Linked DNA regions of Notamacropus eugenii. The protein of the gene in region 1 interacts with the protein of each later gene in a pairwise test. Links are inferred from orthologs where the notes say so. Each region holds a gene or a part of one and is shown on either strand. Other genes may lie near its edges.

Region 1 (7,753 bases):
AGGAAGAAGAAACACAAGTCAGGGAACAGCACAGAAGGACCTACAAGTGACATTACCTGTTTGTGTGGGCTGGTAGTGGCCATGTACTGCATAGGACTGGGGCTGAGGTTGGGACAGGTACTGAACAGCAGGAAAAGCTGAAGGGGCTGAGGGGAGGAAGTCAGACATGGATAAAGACCATCCACAAGCCAAATTCTCCAAAATCTTCACTGCCTGTCCCACCCCACCCCTGTTTCTAGGTGTTTGCCCTCACCTCTGAGCTGTTGGCTGGGACTATAGCCTGGCTGAGTAGGTCCATAGTGAGGTGGTGGCTGGGCTGCCCCATAGGCCCCTCCTGGGCTACCCTGGAATTGCCCATGTTCTGAGGTTCCTGGAAAAGCTGTTGACCCCACAAAATGACGGGTCTGGAGAAGATGTGGAGAGTTAAGATTGGAAAGTGTTCAAATATTAGGTACAAGCTTACAACACACTGTCAGGATAAGTTGTCTGATTTGATAGCTGGAAATCATATATAGAAGTTGCAAAGCAATTTACATACATAATGTGTTTTAAAAATGAGACAAGTTCAGAGAAGCTAAGTGACTTTCAAGGGTCACGCAGGAAGTGTAAGATGTGTTCATCACCTTATCTACCTCTAAAATCACATAACTCCATAATACAATTTATAATTAGGGGAGATTACATTGACATTTTTACCTTCATCACAGCACATTAAATGCCACTGGTAATTAAAATGCCAGGGATCCCTGTCTGCTTACCGTGAGCACTTGGGGTCCAAACATCTGCTTGGCTCTATCAGCAGACATAAGGGTTCCTGGTCTGCTGTGTCCTCCAGGACTGCCTGTGATGAGGTGTAGGGTTCAGATGGCTGCAGGCTCTAAGGAGGTCTCAAACCACCTCCATGATCCTTGCCCCACCTATACCCACCCTTTCCCCTTGTCCACCTCACCCTGCATACTAAGAAGATGTGTCCCTGTGTGTACAGCCAGACTTTGTTGGTATGCTGCAGATGTAAGTGTTGTCAAGTCACTGAAGGGCAAATAAGATCAAAGATGACAAAGCTGTAGGCAACCTTGTAAGTTTTACAGATGAAGAAAAAGTTCCAAAGATATTAAATTTAAAAAATTAGAATGAGATTCCCTAAGATTTATATAGGTGGCATAGGATATGAACCTGGGTTCATTCTCTTCCTGATACCACATTCCCATTTCACAAAGCCATACCTTAGTCTAGGCCCTCCATGTCCCCACCTTTGCTCCTTACGACGCCTTTTCTCCTCCTCATGTAAAACTTTCTTGAGCTGCAGGAAGAGCTGGTGCTTCTCCTCTTGTAGGGCCAGGAGCTTCTCTTGCAGTTTAAGGATCTAGGAGGATCATGGAGACAGTGAAAAGGAGGTCGGCCAGAGCAGAAAGGGGAGCAGGGTGAGTAAAGAGATTAGTGTGTGTGTAAAAATTGCTTACCTGTTCTTTGGTCTCTTCCAGTGACATCCTTTCTTCCATTTCCTTTTTCTTCCTCCTCTCCTGTTCCTCCTTCATTTTCTGTTCCATCATCTTGTCTACCTCCTCTTCCTCTGGGGGAGGGGCATGGGGTTAAAACCTTAAAGCTAGAAGGGAATCTCAGACATCAACCCCTCATATTTAACACAGAAAACAGGCCTACGCAGGGAAAGTGACGCCTCAATTCAAGACCCCACAACTATGAGAACTGACAGTAGTTTTTCAAATCTGGCCTCGGGCACGTCTGAGCTGTGTGACCCTGGATAAGTCACTTAACCTGTTTGCCTGAGTTTTCCGTAACTGTGAAATGGAAACAACTGCACCTTTCTCGCAAGGCAGCTTTACAGGAGCTAGACGGACGCTTGCTCCTCCCCTCCCTCTGGAGTTCAGACCTCTAACATGCAAGGCCTCGTCCGGGATTGCCACGTGCTGCTGCTCCCTCGGAGCTCTGGGCTGGCTAGCACCCTCACTCACCCTGTCTCTTCCTCTCCCGCTCCATCATTATGTGTCGATGCAGTGCCCTAGCCATGGCATTGGAGAGCTTGGGGCGTTCCAGAAGGGCCGGCATGGTGACCCGCAGGGTGCTGTCACACAAACTGGGGTACGGATCCTGAGACTTGATCACTGACAGTCCAGTCCCAGAAATGAATCTGGTCACCCAGCGGAAATCTGGTTGGTTGGGGGATAAGCATGATCACAGAGGGGAAGCGGGGATCCTACCAGCGAAAGGGGAACCTGAGAGCCCTCCCCACCACCCCGAAGGCTCCACCGCGACCCGGCAGCCAGGCAAGGCTGGGGGGGTGGGGGTAGAAGGAGGCTGAGCTCCCCGTGCTTGGGACGGAGGGCAGACCCCCACCCCGCCCTGGCCCCGGACTCCGTCCGCTGGGCTCCGAGGGCGGGCGGGGCTGGAGGGCGGGGCCGGAGACAGCATCAGGACTCCGGAGGCGACACCGCTGGGGCGTATGGGGCAGGTCACGTGCTTCTCCCGTCAGGCGCCCCGCCACCCCCTCGAGCCCATCACCTGCTCCAGCCAGCGGGGTTGGGGTCGAGTGCCACACTGGGTTCCCCACCCTCCCCACTTGTCCAGCAGCTACCAGCGGTGACCCCGCTCTGCGCAGGCGCGACCAGGGTCCGAAAGTCTCGGACTAAACCTCCAGGCCCCCAGCCCCTCCCTACCTACCTCCTCTTCCTTCTCACTTCAGCCCTCCTACAGGCCTCACGGACTTCGTCATTTCCTGACTCGTGAGTAAGTACTTCCGGGGCCACCGATGAGCGATGGCGAAGCTTAGCACACTGCCTGAGTGGGGGAGGGGACGGAAGGGCGGAAGAGGCTGGGGAAAAGGGAAGCTACGGCGGCTGCGCGGGCTGCTCCGGGCTCGCCTGGCCGGCGCCCAGACAAACCGTGGAGGCGTGGAGTAAACGTAGCGGGCGCTGGAGTGGGATGTTTTGGGGGGTGCGCCGATCTTCTACCGTGTGACCCTCCCGCGTCTCCTCCCAGCGCTGGGAGGGCTCCTTCCCCCTGAAAGCCTAACCCCAAGGCCAGGCCCGGCTGCTGCTGGAAGGCGGGGGCCGGGGCCGAGACCCAGACGAGCCGTTCCGTGTTTTACAGGTGACGGGGCTTGCGCACCGGGATCCCTCAGCGTCCTTTAATGCTCACTAACGCCGCCCGGGCTTTCCCAGGCCGTGCCCTGGGAGGCCACGGGACGCACGCTCGGGGAAACGCTGAACTGCAGAGAGTGATCCAAGTGAGCGGCAATGCCGACCCTGAGGCACAAGGGCAGCGGAAGGTTCTGTGGCAGCCTCGGGACCGAGGCAGACGGCACGGGCGTTGGGGCCCATCAGTTCTCTCCTCCTAAGACTCTCCAGGACGTACACAGCATTGAGAGAGAAGACGCGGAGGACAGCGCCCCTTCCTGACCCCCGGCATCTGCTCACGGAGCTTCACTACAGCCTCGTGAAGCACATGGCCTTATCCCCACTTTGCAGTCAGGAAGTGACTTGCCCAGGCTCAGGCGGGACGCTCCTTGGAACTCTCCTGGACTAGGATTTCCCTAGATAAGTGCAAGTGGAGACTGGGACAAAGTTGTATCTGAGACAGGACGTTTATTTCAGTTCTTTAAGAAATCAGAGTATGTAACAGCTGTACAAGGGGTGGCCCCTTCTCCCCCGGCTATTCCTTCCCAATGGAAAAAGTTTCAACGGAGAGGGGAGGGAGGCAACTCCCTCTGGGGATTCACATTAACCAGAAACAACGCAAATAAATTAAGTGATGGGAGTTTCCCCAAATCAGTGCATGAGGAGAGGGGAGGGAAGTAGTGGGGTCAAGACAGAGAAGTGTTCTGGACCATTACAATTTCCCCAAATCTGTGGGCAATCCCCAACCCAGGAGAGCTACTACCCCCCCAAACTGGGAACTCCTCCAAACAAAAATGCAACGCCCCCTGGAAATCTGGGAAACTCCCATCATGTCCACTCTCTTCCCTGGGAACAGTTGGGGGAATGTATAAAAAGTTGGTGCTTCCAAAGTCCATAAACCTTCCCTGTCATTGTGCTTGGCAATATAGGCCCACATCCTCTCACTCCACTCGTACCAGCAAGGCATAGAGTAATGTGGCACCCTTTTCCTTGGTCACCCACTCAAGCTCAGCAGGGCTAAAGTGGGGGTCAGGAGGGCCCCCAAGAGCTGTAGAGGGTGGGCCAGGTGTGTAGGATCCAGGACGTACACACACCTGGAATGCCACCTGGGCCTGGTATGGCCTTTGAGATTTGGGATCCCGGAATCTAAAGACAAGAAAGAAGGAAGGGCCTGTTGGGACAGTATGAGAAAAAAAAAAAACATAGGAAGCAAAGGGTAGAAATGTGCAAATACATAGTGGAAAAATTGCGGAATAGAGGGAAAGAAGGAAGGGCATGGGGAAACCAACAGGCAAGGGAAAAGTGAGAAGAGGGAGATTGGAACCAAAATCTAATGGAAACAAGACATTAAAAAAAAGCAGGCTTAGGGACCCCACTCTAGGTTTCAGCAATGTCCCCCACTCCTTAGTTACCCCGACTTCAGTTCCCACCCCCACCCCCCAGTCTCCTTCACTCACTGCACTTTGGAAGCAAGGGCATCAATCCCAGCAGCATGCCGAAGGGAGGGGGAAAGCAGCACAGGAGGGGGCTGCTCCTCACGAGGAGGGACACAGTTTTCACCAGATTCTCCATACCCACACCCTGGCTCTGCCTTTAAAGGCCTACAGCTGAGGATTGAAGCACTGCCTGAAAGGAAAGGGTAATGGTTAGGGGTCTCTCCACCCTCTATACCTCCTCCTTATGGAAGAAGACCTGATTTCCCCCAATCATTCCCCTCAGCATCATCATACAACTTTGTTTATCCTTTCTTACCTGCCCCCAGCTCTCCTCGGTCTAGCACCCTCCGAACGGCCCCAACACTACTCCCATGATAGGCCATATGCCACTTCTTGGATAGTGCTGCTGTCTCCAATCGTGGATTCACTCTGCAGGAAAGAAATGTGTATGTCTGTGCTGACCTTGATCACCCCTCAAAGCCCGTTCTTTTCAAAGAGGAAAAGTTGGACTTGTTCTGTCCAACTGTCTTGCTGAAAACTGCCTGGTAAGAAACAGGATCCTAGGAGTATAGATCTATAGAGAATTCAAAGCCAGGTCTTCCACCTCCCAGGCCAGGTCACTTCTAATTGTTATCATACGCTAAAAAACAATTTCTGAACCTACACATCAAATAAAATAGGTATCTGCACATATATAATAGAACAAAAAGAGAATTGTACAAGAAGCTGCACATTTCTAATAATAGCTGCACGTAAGTACAGCTTGTTTTTTCTTTTAGATGTTCAACTTGTAGCTTTGTCCTGCGCTTCCCTATGCCGACCTTTTGTTTTTTAAAAAGAAAAAATTTCTCCATTGACCCTTTTTTTTTCCAATGGTGTGGGAAAGAATGGTATTAGGAAGGCAAAGGGGGACTAGGGAGAGGGCCGCAAAAAAAAAAAGCACACCTCGTAAATTTATGCCACTTCCTTGAATAGGAAATTGTATATCCTATTGAAGTGACATTTTCTAGACCTAAAAATGAAGGATAAAAGAAAACTCTTTCTGCCCTCCCTGGGCATCGAGTCCTAGGCTGCCCCAGGCTTCCACCCCTCCCACCTTAAGCCACATGCCTGAGGTTAAAGCGGCACCAGCCAAAGGGCAAGGCATACTCTTGTGGCGGCTCCCCCCGACGACGATGTGCCTCATCGCCCCGAAGTTTCCGACAGGACTCACAGTAGCACAGGCTTCGCTTGGGGGGTGGGACAAAGTAATCCTCTGGCAAAGAAGAGAAAGGTTGAATTCAGGGGCTATATTTCCTAAAGAATCCTTATTTCTATATCTCATCTGTGTCAGCCTTCAGAAATGAGCTCATTCCCTCCTCCCCCTCTCCCCAAACTATTTGGGGGTTTGAGGAAAGCAACTCTAGTGTCCCAAGAAAAGAGAGTTGATAAAATGATCAAGTCTCACCTGGCAGTAGCAGCAACTCCTGGAACCGAGAGCAGAGGGCATGGTATTCACAACTCTTTAAAGGACTGGCATCTGGAGGTGGGGCCCAACATACACTCTCTTTGATGCCTGAAAGGTAGGGCCAAATCAGAGTAGGGAAGGTGTGGGGAGAGAAGAAAACAGTAAAATGGGGACTGGGGGGAAGATGGGAGCAGGGCATATTTTGGGGACATCTGCCTCATTCAACTTCTTAAGTGACTGCGTTTGGGAGGTGGGGGGAAGGGAGGAGTCAGGAAGAAATGATTCTCTGGGGAAGAAGCAAAGAGTTTCATATTAAGGCAACGACAGGTGTCCAAAAACAGAAGTAGAATTAAGAGTAACAAAGTACTCTCCAGCAGGATTGTATAGTACAGGCTCTCCCTGAGCCTCACCATCTACCACATCAGCCTTCTCCATGTCCCCCTGGATTCCAGCTCCCTCCCCATTGGCTGCTCCTGTCTCAAGGCTCATAATTGTCACCTGGAGAAGAAGAAGGGTTGGTTAACCTTTGGTCTGCTGCTCTCCCCTACCACAAAGGATTTTCTCAATCCCACTGTACATCCCTTCCCCTCCCATCCAACCCTTCAGCCTCAATTCCTTTTCCCTTTAAACTCCCCAGTTTGTCCCATCGACCCCATAAAAACTTCACTACACCCCCAATTCTAACTTTTTAAATCACCACCACCACCATGCTCCTCTAACTTCCTAGATTCCTCCCCCCTTCCAGCACTGTTCCTGACCAACCACCCCCTGCTGACCTGCTCACACTGGCCATAGAGGTCCACTAGGGCATGGCAAGGCTGGGGCACCTCAGCCACAGCCACACCCTGGTCCACACCATTGACATAGAGGTGCAGCCCCCCAGACCCGTCCAACCTCAGCCCCAGCACCGTGCCTTCTGGGCACGTGTCCAGGTTTGGCCCATACTTCTCGCAGATCTGGGGGACAGAAGCATGAGAAATGAGCCACTTCTCAAAAACCCCCACCCCTCCAATATCAATACCCAGTCTCCAATATTCTCATCTGGTCACCCCACAAACATACACTTCTTTATACACTTTTACCCTTTTATTCCCAGGCTTCCCTTCTTACAATCCCCTCCCCCAACAATTGTTCTTACCTTTTCCCCACTCAGGGCCCATTCTCTGGGTCTATCTATTACCTCTTCTTTAGGTTCACATTACCTTTGTATTTTACCCCATTTGTTCCAATGACTCCCCAAATTCCTATACCATTCCATTTTTCAGGGCCTTTTCCTTTCCTGATATCCCAATTATCTCCAATCACTGGATCTGCCTTGCCTACAGGACTGTTCCCCTTCTTTACATGTCCTGCCCACCTTGAGGCCATTATGGAAGACACCCTGGCCCCGAAGTAGCCAGGCGGCCCGTTTGAGGGCACAAGCTGAAGCTGGGAAGTTGAGCCGCTCAGGGGGGCAGGCAATGACTCCAAGGGCCAGGGATGAAGTCCACTGCCGGTTCAGGAAGTCCAGCCGCACCTGGGGGAAGCGGGAGATTACCTCCTAGCAGCCACTGACCCACAGGAAGTAGTCTCACTGGGTGGGACAGGGGAGGGAAGAACAAGACATATCACATCCCCTGCGGATATGAAGAAGAGTGCTTTAACTTTGGTTTCTGACATAATTTTGGATGATTTCCTCTCTAGGTGAAAAAAGTTAAGGCTCACTAGCAAGGGTGTCAGTAAGAAAGGAAGTTCTGAGT
Region 2 (7,878 bases), on another chromosome or scaffold:
TCAAGTTGGGCTTATTTTTTGACTTAGATGTTTTTAAAGTCTGCTTTGTCAGCTTTAAGTTTCTTCAGGGTCAATGGAAAAGAGATAAAGAAGGTGCTCACCTCAAAGAGTCCCTTAATGTTTGTGAAAGATGAATTGGGAATAGTGAGTGACGTTTTAGCGGTTTATCTGAACAGCAGACATTTAATTATCAGACATCTACGAAATAAGAATAGTGATTTAAAATGCCACAAACTTAAGTACAAAGAACACTGGTTTAGGAGCAGTAGTCAGTCTTTCTAGTCCTAAATCCTAGTCCTTAATACCAGTGTAGCTTTGAGCAAGCTTAACTTGTACAGAAAACACCAGCAATGGAATAGGACCTGGATTCCAGTATAGACTCTCCAAGTTTACTAGACTCTGTATGACCCTAGGCTAGTCACCCCCACCTCTCTGGGCCTGAGTTTCTTTTTAATTTATAAAATTAGGTCAGAGTTAATACTATGTTCCTTCCAGTAATCATACAAACTGTAGATGCTCCTCCATAACCCTCCTCTAAGCTCTTCTGACTTTTCTTTCACTTATTCTAAAATGTCTCCCATTACTTCTAGATCGTGGCTGTTAAGTAGATCAAGTTCAAAATATGCCACAACAACTAATTAATCTTCCTGTCTGTGCTTTCACAGGTACTTGTTTGAAGGTTAATTTTAGTCTAAGAAATGAGTGAATAAACATGTTTACTGCATAAACATATGCTGCAAAATTATTTCCTGGTATTCTGGGCACAAAAAGAAAATACTGTAATGTTGAGTAAGTGTGTAACCATGTGCTTGCCACTTCCTTTGGGATTTTTGTATTTAGTCACAGGGCAAAAACAGTTACCAGCTTTTATCCACTTAAAAGTATTCAGGTTTCCTGGTTCCAGAACAATGAAGTATTTTACTGGGGAGGAGGGGGGGAGAGAGAAAGAGAAGGGGAGGGAACAGGAGGTAACAGGAGTATATGTTCCTTTCATTTTGTATTGTTCCAAAAATGAGTTGTAAAGGCAACTAGGTGTAAGAGTTTTCCTTTAAAAAAAGAAAAGGCTTTTTCATCTAAAAAATTAATATTCTCGATGTAAATGAAATTCCAGGATGCCAATTTTAAGGTGAGACCTTAGTAGCTGCCACTTAACAATATGATTGGTAATGAGAAAGAAAAGCTAACAAAGTAAGTGACCTGTCAATTTCAAACCCTAGTTACAGAGTAGCTAGAAAGCACTTCAATCTCATTGAGATTGTGTGAGGGAGAAAACAAAAAGGATACCAAAGCACTAACGCCATTGTGACTTAAATCGGGCCAATCCTAAACAGGGCCAATAAACCTACACAATAGGAAGTCAAAAGAAAATAATTAATAATAACATCTCTTAAAATATATATATGTATATATCCTAAAATATTTTAGGGAGATTCAATTTCACCATACGTTTATATATGGATATAGACAGAAATATATAATATAGAGGCAGACAGATGTAAATATGTAGATATATATCTTAAAATACTTTCGGTATATGCAATTTCTCTTTATAAATGGATATAGATATATGGATACAGACAGATATAGAGAATGTTTATGTCTCTGCATCTGCCTATATCCATATGGATATTTCTATGTAGATTAAAAATGTGGATATAGACAGATTTAAATATAGATATAGATTTACAATACATATATACACACCCTAAAATACTTTGGGTCTAGGCAATATGTTGCCTAGACCCAAAGTATTTCAGGATATCTCCATCCATTCATCCATCCAGCTAGCTAGCTATCTCCGGCTTTGGCTCTCCAATCTGTCTTTTAAAAAAAAACACACCCAAACGCGGCTCCTCCGGCAGGATACCACCATCTTCCTCCTTTTTGTGGCTCTCCCAAAGCTGAAAGGACCTTCCCATCGTGCAGGCCCGGGGAGCGAGGGGGTGGAGGAGCCCGTGCCGGTACTACCCCCACCCCCGGGCAGGTCCGGTACAGGGCTACACAAAGGAAGCGAAGCCCCGGGGCTGGGATGGGAGGGAAATCGCCGCAGACCCCGACCCGAGGAAAGGAGGGAGGGGGCGCCACCGTCCAGACCTGTTACTCCCCCGGCCCCCCCGCCCTTTGGATTGGAAATGTTAAACTGTCTTTTCCCAAAAAACCTCCTTTCCGGTTCTCTCCGTTTGAAAACGGGGCGCGTTAGGACGCACGGAGGTCCGGGGCTGGGGAGGGGGCTGCCCGGTGCTTTGTCTACGGGGCCGGGCCGGGCCGGTCCTCCCAAGCGGCTCCTCTCCTTCCCCGCGGGGGCGACCCCCGGCCCCGGCCCGGCCCGGCGCGTCCTTCTCCCCTCCGGCCCGGGCCTCGGGGCCTGCACGCGCCGGGGCCAGAGCCGGGGCCGGGGCTGGGGCCGGGCGGGGGGCGCACACTCACCTGGGTGGCTCCGGCGGCGGGCGGCTGCGGAGCGCGGCTCTGAAGGACGCGGGGAAGGGAGGGAGGGAGGCGGGCGGGCCCAGGCGGGCGGCGGCGGCTCCAGTCACTCCCGGCAATCGCTGTCCCAGCCCCTCCGTGCGTCAGGCAGGGGGCGGCGGCGGCGGCCCAGTGACCCACTTCACACCCCGCCCGCGCGCCCTCCCCTCCCCCACCGTGGCACGCGAGCACGCGCACCCCCCCCCCGCGCGCCCCCTCCACCACCCCACCCCCGCACTACGACCGGGACCCGAACCTGAACCCTGTGGTGTGCGAAGTACCCGGCCCCTCCCCCTTCCTCCTATGTGGCCCCAGAGATCACGGGGAGGGGCCATGGGGATTGGGGTGCTCCGAGGATCTGGGACCTAGTCCATTCCGGAGCCATCTCTGCTCCAAAACCCTACAAACTACCACGAATTCTAGTTCTTATCCTCTCCCCCACCTACTCCCCCACCTCCGACTTTGTGTGGGGACCTTGGACAAGTCACCTCTGATTCCTCATCTGTAAAAGAAAAAAAAGTGGGGAGGGGGCCTCCAAGGTCCTTTCCATCTGTAAATCTGGAAGAGGCTACTGTCCTTCTTCTTAAGCCCTCTGATTGTGGTCACTTGTTAGGGTCTCCTGAGCATGGCAGACACTTAGCGCCTGAGCTTCCCTGGGTTAAGACCAAGTACCCTGTGAGAGGAATAGGTAGCACTAATGAATGGGATTGTTAGGATTGGACAAAAAAGGTCTCTTCAATTCTTTCATTTCACAGATGAGGAAACAGACCCAGAGAGGGAGAGTAATTGGTAGTAGAGAATTTAAGGGAAAGAAATGAGGATGGAAGAGTCTTGATTTCAGTGCTTGTTTTCTTATTTGGGGGTATAGCCAAATCCTATGCCACCAATATATGATGGAATTCTCAAAAATCTATTGTAATTCCAGGCGGACAATCTTCTTACCCTGTTCCTAGCCCAGTGCTCATCGAACTGTTAATCATTTTGAATATAAATTGTTGATTACTCCAGTATACGAGCTACCTCTTCCCTCTTGCTTCCACTCCCATCATTACCGACCTTGTTCCATTTTCTTACATTAAAACCTATTACATTCCTTTTCTCCGTGAATAAGTTACTTTTATCCCATTCCATTAGATATTTTAATAAATTTAACCTGCCAATTTAATTTCCTTATCCTAGCCCATCAGTACTACTGATCTCCCAATCCCATTCCTCCAGCCTCTCCTTCCTGCTCCACCCCAAGCTACAAATATATCTAGTTTAACTCCCTGGACCTCACTTGAGGGATCTAAGCCTACTGAGGAAACTACCCCCTTCACCACAACCACCTCAGCCTTCAAGGATGACAATGCTGGCAAGCACCAAGAAATTTCTGTTCCCTGCTGGTTCCTTCCCTTGATTAGGATCTCCCAATATCTGTCCCTCAAAAATTTTCCCATCTTGCATCCCATTCAGACAACTTGAGTTGGAAGCCCAGTAGAAATGTTAAAACAAAACTCATTTTTGCCCCTAAAACCTACCCCCAAAATTACCTATTACAGCCAAAGGCAACAAACACCATCCTCTCAATCCCCCAGGTTTGCAACCTAGAATGTCATCCTAAACTCCTAGCTCTCACTCCCACATATCCAAACTGTTACCAGTCTTTCAATTTCACTTCTTGCATTATCTCTTTCTTCTCTCCCCTAACACAGAGACCACCATGGGGCAGGTTCTCATCACCTCATGTCTGGACTATTACAATAGCCTGTTGGTGGGTCTGTCTCCCTCAACCCTCTCCCCCACTGTAATCCATCCTATATTCAACCACCAAAGTAATTTCCTAGCGCACATGTTTGACCATGTCACACCTCTCCCCCACTCAATAAACTCCTGTGACTCCCAATCACCCAGGATCTAATACAAAATCCTCTGGTGTTCAGACCTTCATAACCTAGCCCCTTTCAGCCTTTCTAGTCTTCTTATACTTTAGTCCTTTCCCCAATTCCACCCACTGACAATGACACCCTTGCTGATCCATGCACAAGACAATTCATCTCTCAGCTCCCCAATTAGATTGTGAGCTCCTTGAAGGCATTTTTCCCCTTTTTTTTATACCCCCAGCACTTAGTAAAGTGCACATAGTAGGTGCTTAATACATGTTGATTGATTCCTGCACATTTAGTTATTTATTTTGAGCTCAGCTAGGCCTCCAGGAAGAGAGGATTTTAGTTATGCAAGAAATAAATATGACTGAAGAGGGTTGTCAGAATCAATGGGGAAATGTGGTGTGTAAAGAAGAGAATGGTTTTCACAAGGCCTTGGAACCAGGTTTATGAGGCCTGCACAGCCACTATTCCTCCTTCCTCTGACCTGGATTCCCTGGGCAATTTGTGAACCTTGTACATGACCAGTAGTGCCTGAAATGACTTCCCTTCTTTTCTGTCTATTTGATATTCTACTTAGCATTCAAGCTGGTGGCACGGCCTCCAGGAAACCTACTTGACCTAACCAGTCAAGGTTCTGTAGCACTTTGCTCTCATCGTGTTTCATTTAATGTTACTGTTATTTGTATATGATTCCTCTCATTCTATTTGACTGTGACCTATAAGAGACTAAGCATAGGGGTCCTATTCATCTTTGTGTTCCCCACACTAGCCTAGTACAGTATTCTATACCAGTGATGTCAAAACCAAATAGAGACATGTTAACTTAGAAAATGACAAAGTAACATTATCTATGTTGTATTTTTATTTACTTTGTTAAAAATTTCCCAATTACATTTTTGTTTTATATAAATTTTTAATTTTCTAAAGTTTTTTTAAAATTTATTTTATTTTTAACATGGAGTAAAATAAGCACTTCCATAACATAGTAAAATATAAAAAGATGATTGCACATGAAACTACAAATTCACTATGCACAACTTGCTATTGCTTTCAAATATACAAGATTATCATGTAAACATGACTAAGGTGAAAATGTATTTAACAGGAATGTATGTGTAGAACCTATATAAGACTGCATGCCATCTGGGGAGGGAGCGGAGAGGGAGGGGGTAAGGAGGGGAAGAGAGGGGAAAAAATCTAAGATAAATGGAAGTGATTGTAGAAAACTGAAAACAAAATTAAATAAAAAATAAAATATCAAAAAAAAAGATTATCACATAAATTTCTTTTTTTTCCTTTTTTCTTCCGTCTCCCCCAGATGGCTACTACTAGACACAAATAGGTGTGTGTGTATGTGCGTGCCTGTGTACATACATACATATACACATATAAAACATTCCATTACATTTTAATCTGGGTCTGGCCTCATTCTGGAAGTTTGTAGCCACTTTTAATAAATACCAGTCAAAAATTCAGCAACACAATATACCAATGTGCACTTTAGCACTCAATTTTATAGTATGACACGCAAGATCTTCTATATCCCAATTGTTAACTAACCTTGAGTAAATTGGAAACCATTTTAAATCTCAAACTCTCATTCTCCTCTATCTATCATTGTACTCAAAAACCCCAAAGGGCAGATTTTGAGGTAGTGGTAACTGATAACATCTGGATTTCCCAGTCACCAATCCTGGAACCCCCTCAAAGAAGGGAACAACTTCAATACATGTCAGAGATGGGATTTTCCTGTCCCGGAAAGTCATCTAGAGAAATGGCACACTATTCATCAGCCCAAACTAGATGCAGATTTGGAATCCTGCATCATCGCACCCCTATCTCCACTTGGCTGTAAAGAACACCTAATAAATCTTTGCAGGACACATGTTTGTGAGTGGGTTTCCTCCTTTCTCACTTCTCTAGTGCAGATTCTTTTGTTGTCATTCAGTCACTTTTCAGTCATGTCCAATTCTCTGTGGGAAATCCCATTTGGGATTTCCTTGGCAAAGATACTGGAGTGGTTTGCTGTTTTCTTCTCCAGCTCATTTTACAGATGAGGAAACTGAGGCAAAGAGGGTTAAATGAATTTGCCCAAGGTCACACAGCTAGTAAGTGTCTGAGGCCAGATTTGAAATCAGGAAGATAGATCTTCCTGACTCCAAGGTCAACACTCTATCACTGTGCCACCTAGCTGCCCCAATGCAGATTCTAGATTGAATAACTAAAATAGCAGGAAAAAATAAACAAATATCCTTTCCTATTTTAAATTCCCTTGATTTCACAAAGTCTTCGTTCTAGTTGCTTCAGTGAGTAACCCTAATTGAAGGACCTTAGTTCAAACCCTGAGCTCTGTTACTTACTGCCATTATATGACATTGGACAAATACCATCACTTCTCTTATCCTCAAGTTCCTTACCTGTAAATAAGACTTTGAACTATACGAAATCGAAGGTCTTTTCTAGCTATAAATCTATGAACTGTGACTCCCCTATTCTAATTCAGGAGGATGTTTAATATAATAACATTTATGCAGTGTTTTCCATGATCTCATTTGATCTTCTGAACAACTCTATGAAGTTTATATTATTATTCTCTGAAAAAGAGCAGCTCCAGAAAGTTGAAGGGGAGGGAGAGAGAGTGAGAGTGGGAAATGAATGTCTGGGAAAGGACTCAGGAAGATCTATAAGATAGGACAGTCTGGCTAGGCTAGAGAGAAGGTAGAACCAAGATAGATTAAAAACGAGTTTCAGTATACTTGTGAGCAGGACAGCTATTCATGGCCAGGCTTCTGTTAACATCATCATTTTTTCCCTTTTTCATTTTAGCCCTAAGTATGTTTTCCTTTTACTGTGCTGTAATAAACTCTTTTAAAAGAAAAGCCTTTTATGGTTGCGAGCTCTTTGCAAGGGGGAAGGGGAATGGAACAAAAAAAACAAACCAAACAAAGAAGTAATGCCTTTGTGGGGGGGGGGGAGTAGAAGAGGGGGAAGGAACTAAAGAAATATAAAGAGGAGATGTTATTAGCTCTGATCCTGAAAGAGGCACCTGTGAACACAGATCTGGGCTTGTTGATGGAAAAATAAATAAAGGGATTATGGTGTTCATTCCATTGTGCCACACATTTAATGTTCCCCTCTGAACTACCTAACATTCTTTGTTTATCATAATAAAACTTTTGTACTACCTGACATTCTTTTCTTATCATTATCCTCAGAATAGTGGCATAACTGAATATTTTACATAACACACTGATACCCTCATCCACTAAGTTCAAAACAGATCATCCAGTTCCTTAAATAAAGAATACCTCTGTTATGGCAGAACACTGAACTGGGAGGCAGAAGACTTGTATTATAGTTTCATTTCTCCTATTAATTAGCTAAGATTAAAAATTTCTCTAGGTTAGGGGTTCTTAACGTGGGGTACATGGATAGATTTCAAGGAGTCCATGAACTTGGATGGGGAAAAATATCACACCTTATTTACACTAACTTCTAATTGAAATTTAGTATTTCCTTCAATGTTAGACAACAAACTTTAATTCTG

The links.
Region 2: the proteins of GPS2 (region 1) and SESTD1 interact in binary tests that used the Homo sapiens proteins (3 or more experiments, as listed by UniProt). The two-hybrid records come from large-scale screens. The link is inferred for Notamacropus eugenii from reciprocal best matches to the Homo sapiens genes GPS2 and SESTD1.

The regions. Positions count from the first base shown.
Region 1 is NC_092873.1:78,711,303-78,719,055, reverse strand, and holds the start of GPS2 (G protein pathway suppressor 2), read right to left. Parts: upstream 3,109-7,753; 5' UTR 2,677-3,108; exon of another isoform or gene 2,518-2,676; intron 2,166-2,517; 5' UTR 2,065-2,165; coding exon 1,971-2,064; intron 1,571-1,970; coding exon 1,461-1,570; intron 1,364-1,460; coding exon 1,224-1,363; intron 1,030-1,223; coding exon 950-1,029; intron 842-949; coding exon 759-841; intron 405-758; coding exon 254-404; intron 147-253; coding exon 57-146; intron 1-56. Other genes in the region: NEURL4 (neuralized-like protein 4), read right to left, coding at 4,073-4,277, 4,589-4,757, 4,884-4,996, 5,678-5,822, 6,015-6,122, 6,425-6,512, 6,791-6,970, 7,372-7,530. UniProt on the Homo sapiens protein: Key regulator of inflammation, lipid metabolism and mitochondrion homeostasis that acts by inhibiting the activity of the ubiquitin-conjugating enzyme UBE2N/Ubc13, thereby inhibiting 'Lys-63'-linked ubiquitination.
Region 2 is NC_092876.1:242,524,861-242,532,738, forward strand, and holds the start of SESTD1 (SEC14 domain and spectrin repeat-containing protein 1), read right to left. Parts: upstream 3,056-7,878; 5' UTR 2,428-3,055; intron 1,343-2,427; exon of another isoform or gene 1,285-1,342; intron 1-1,284. UniProt on the Homo sapiens protein: May act as the primary docking protein directing membrane turnover and assembly of the transient receptor potential channels TRPC4 and TRPC5.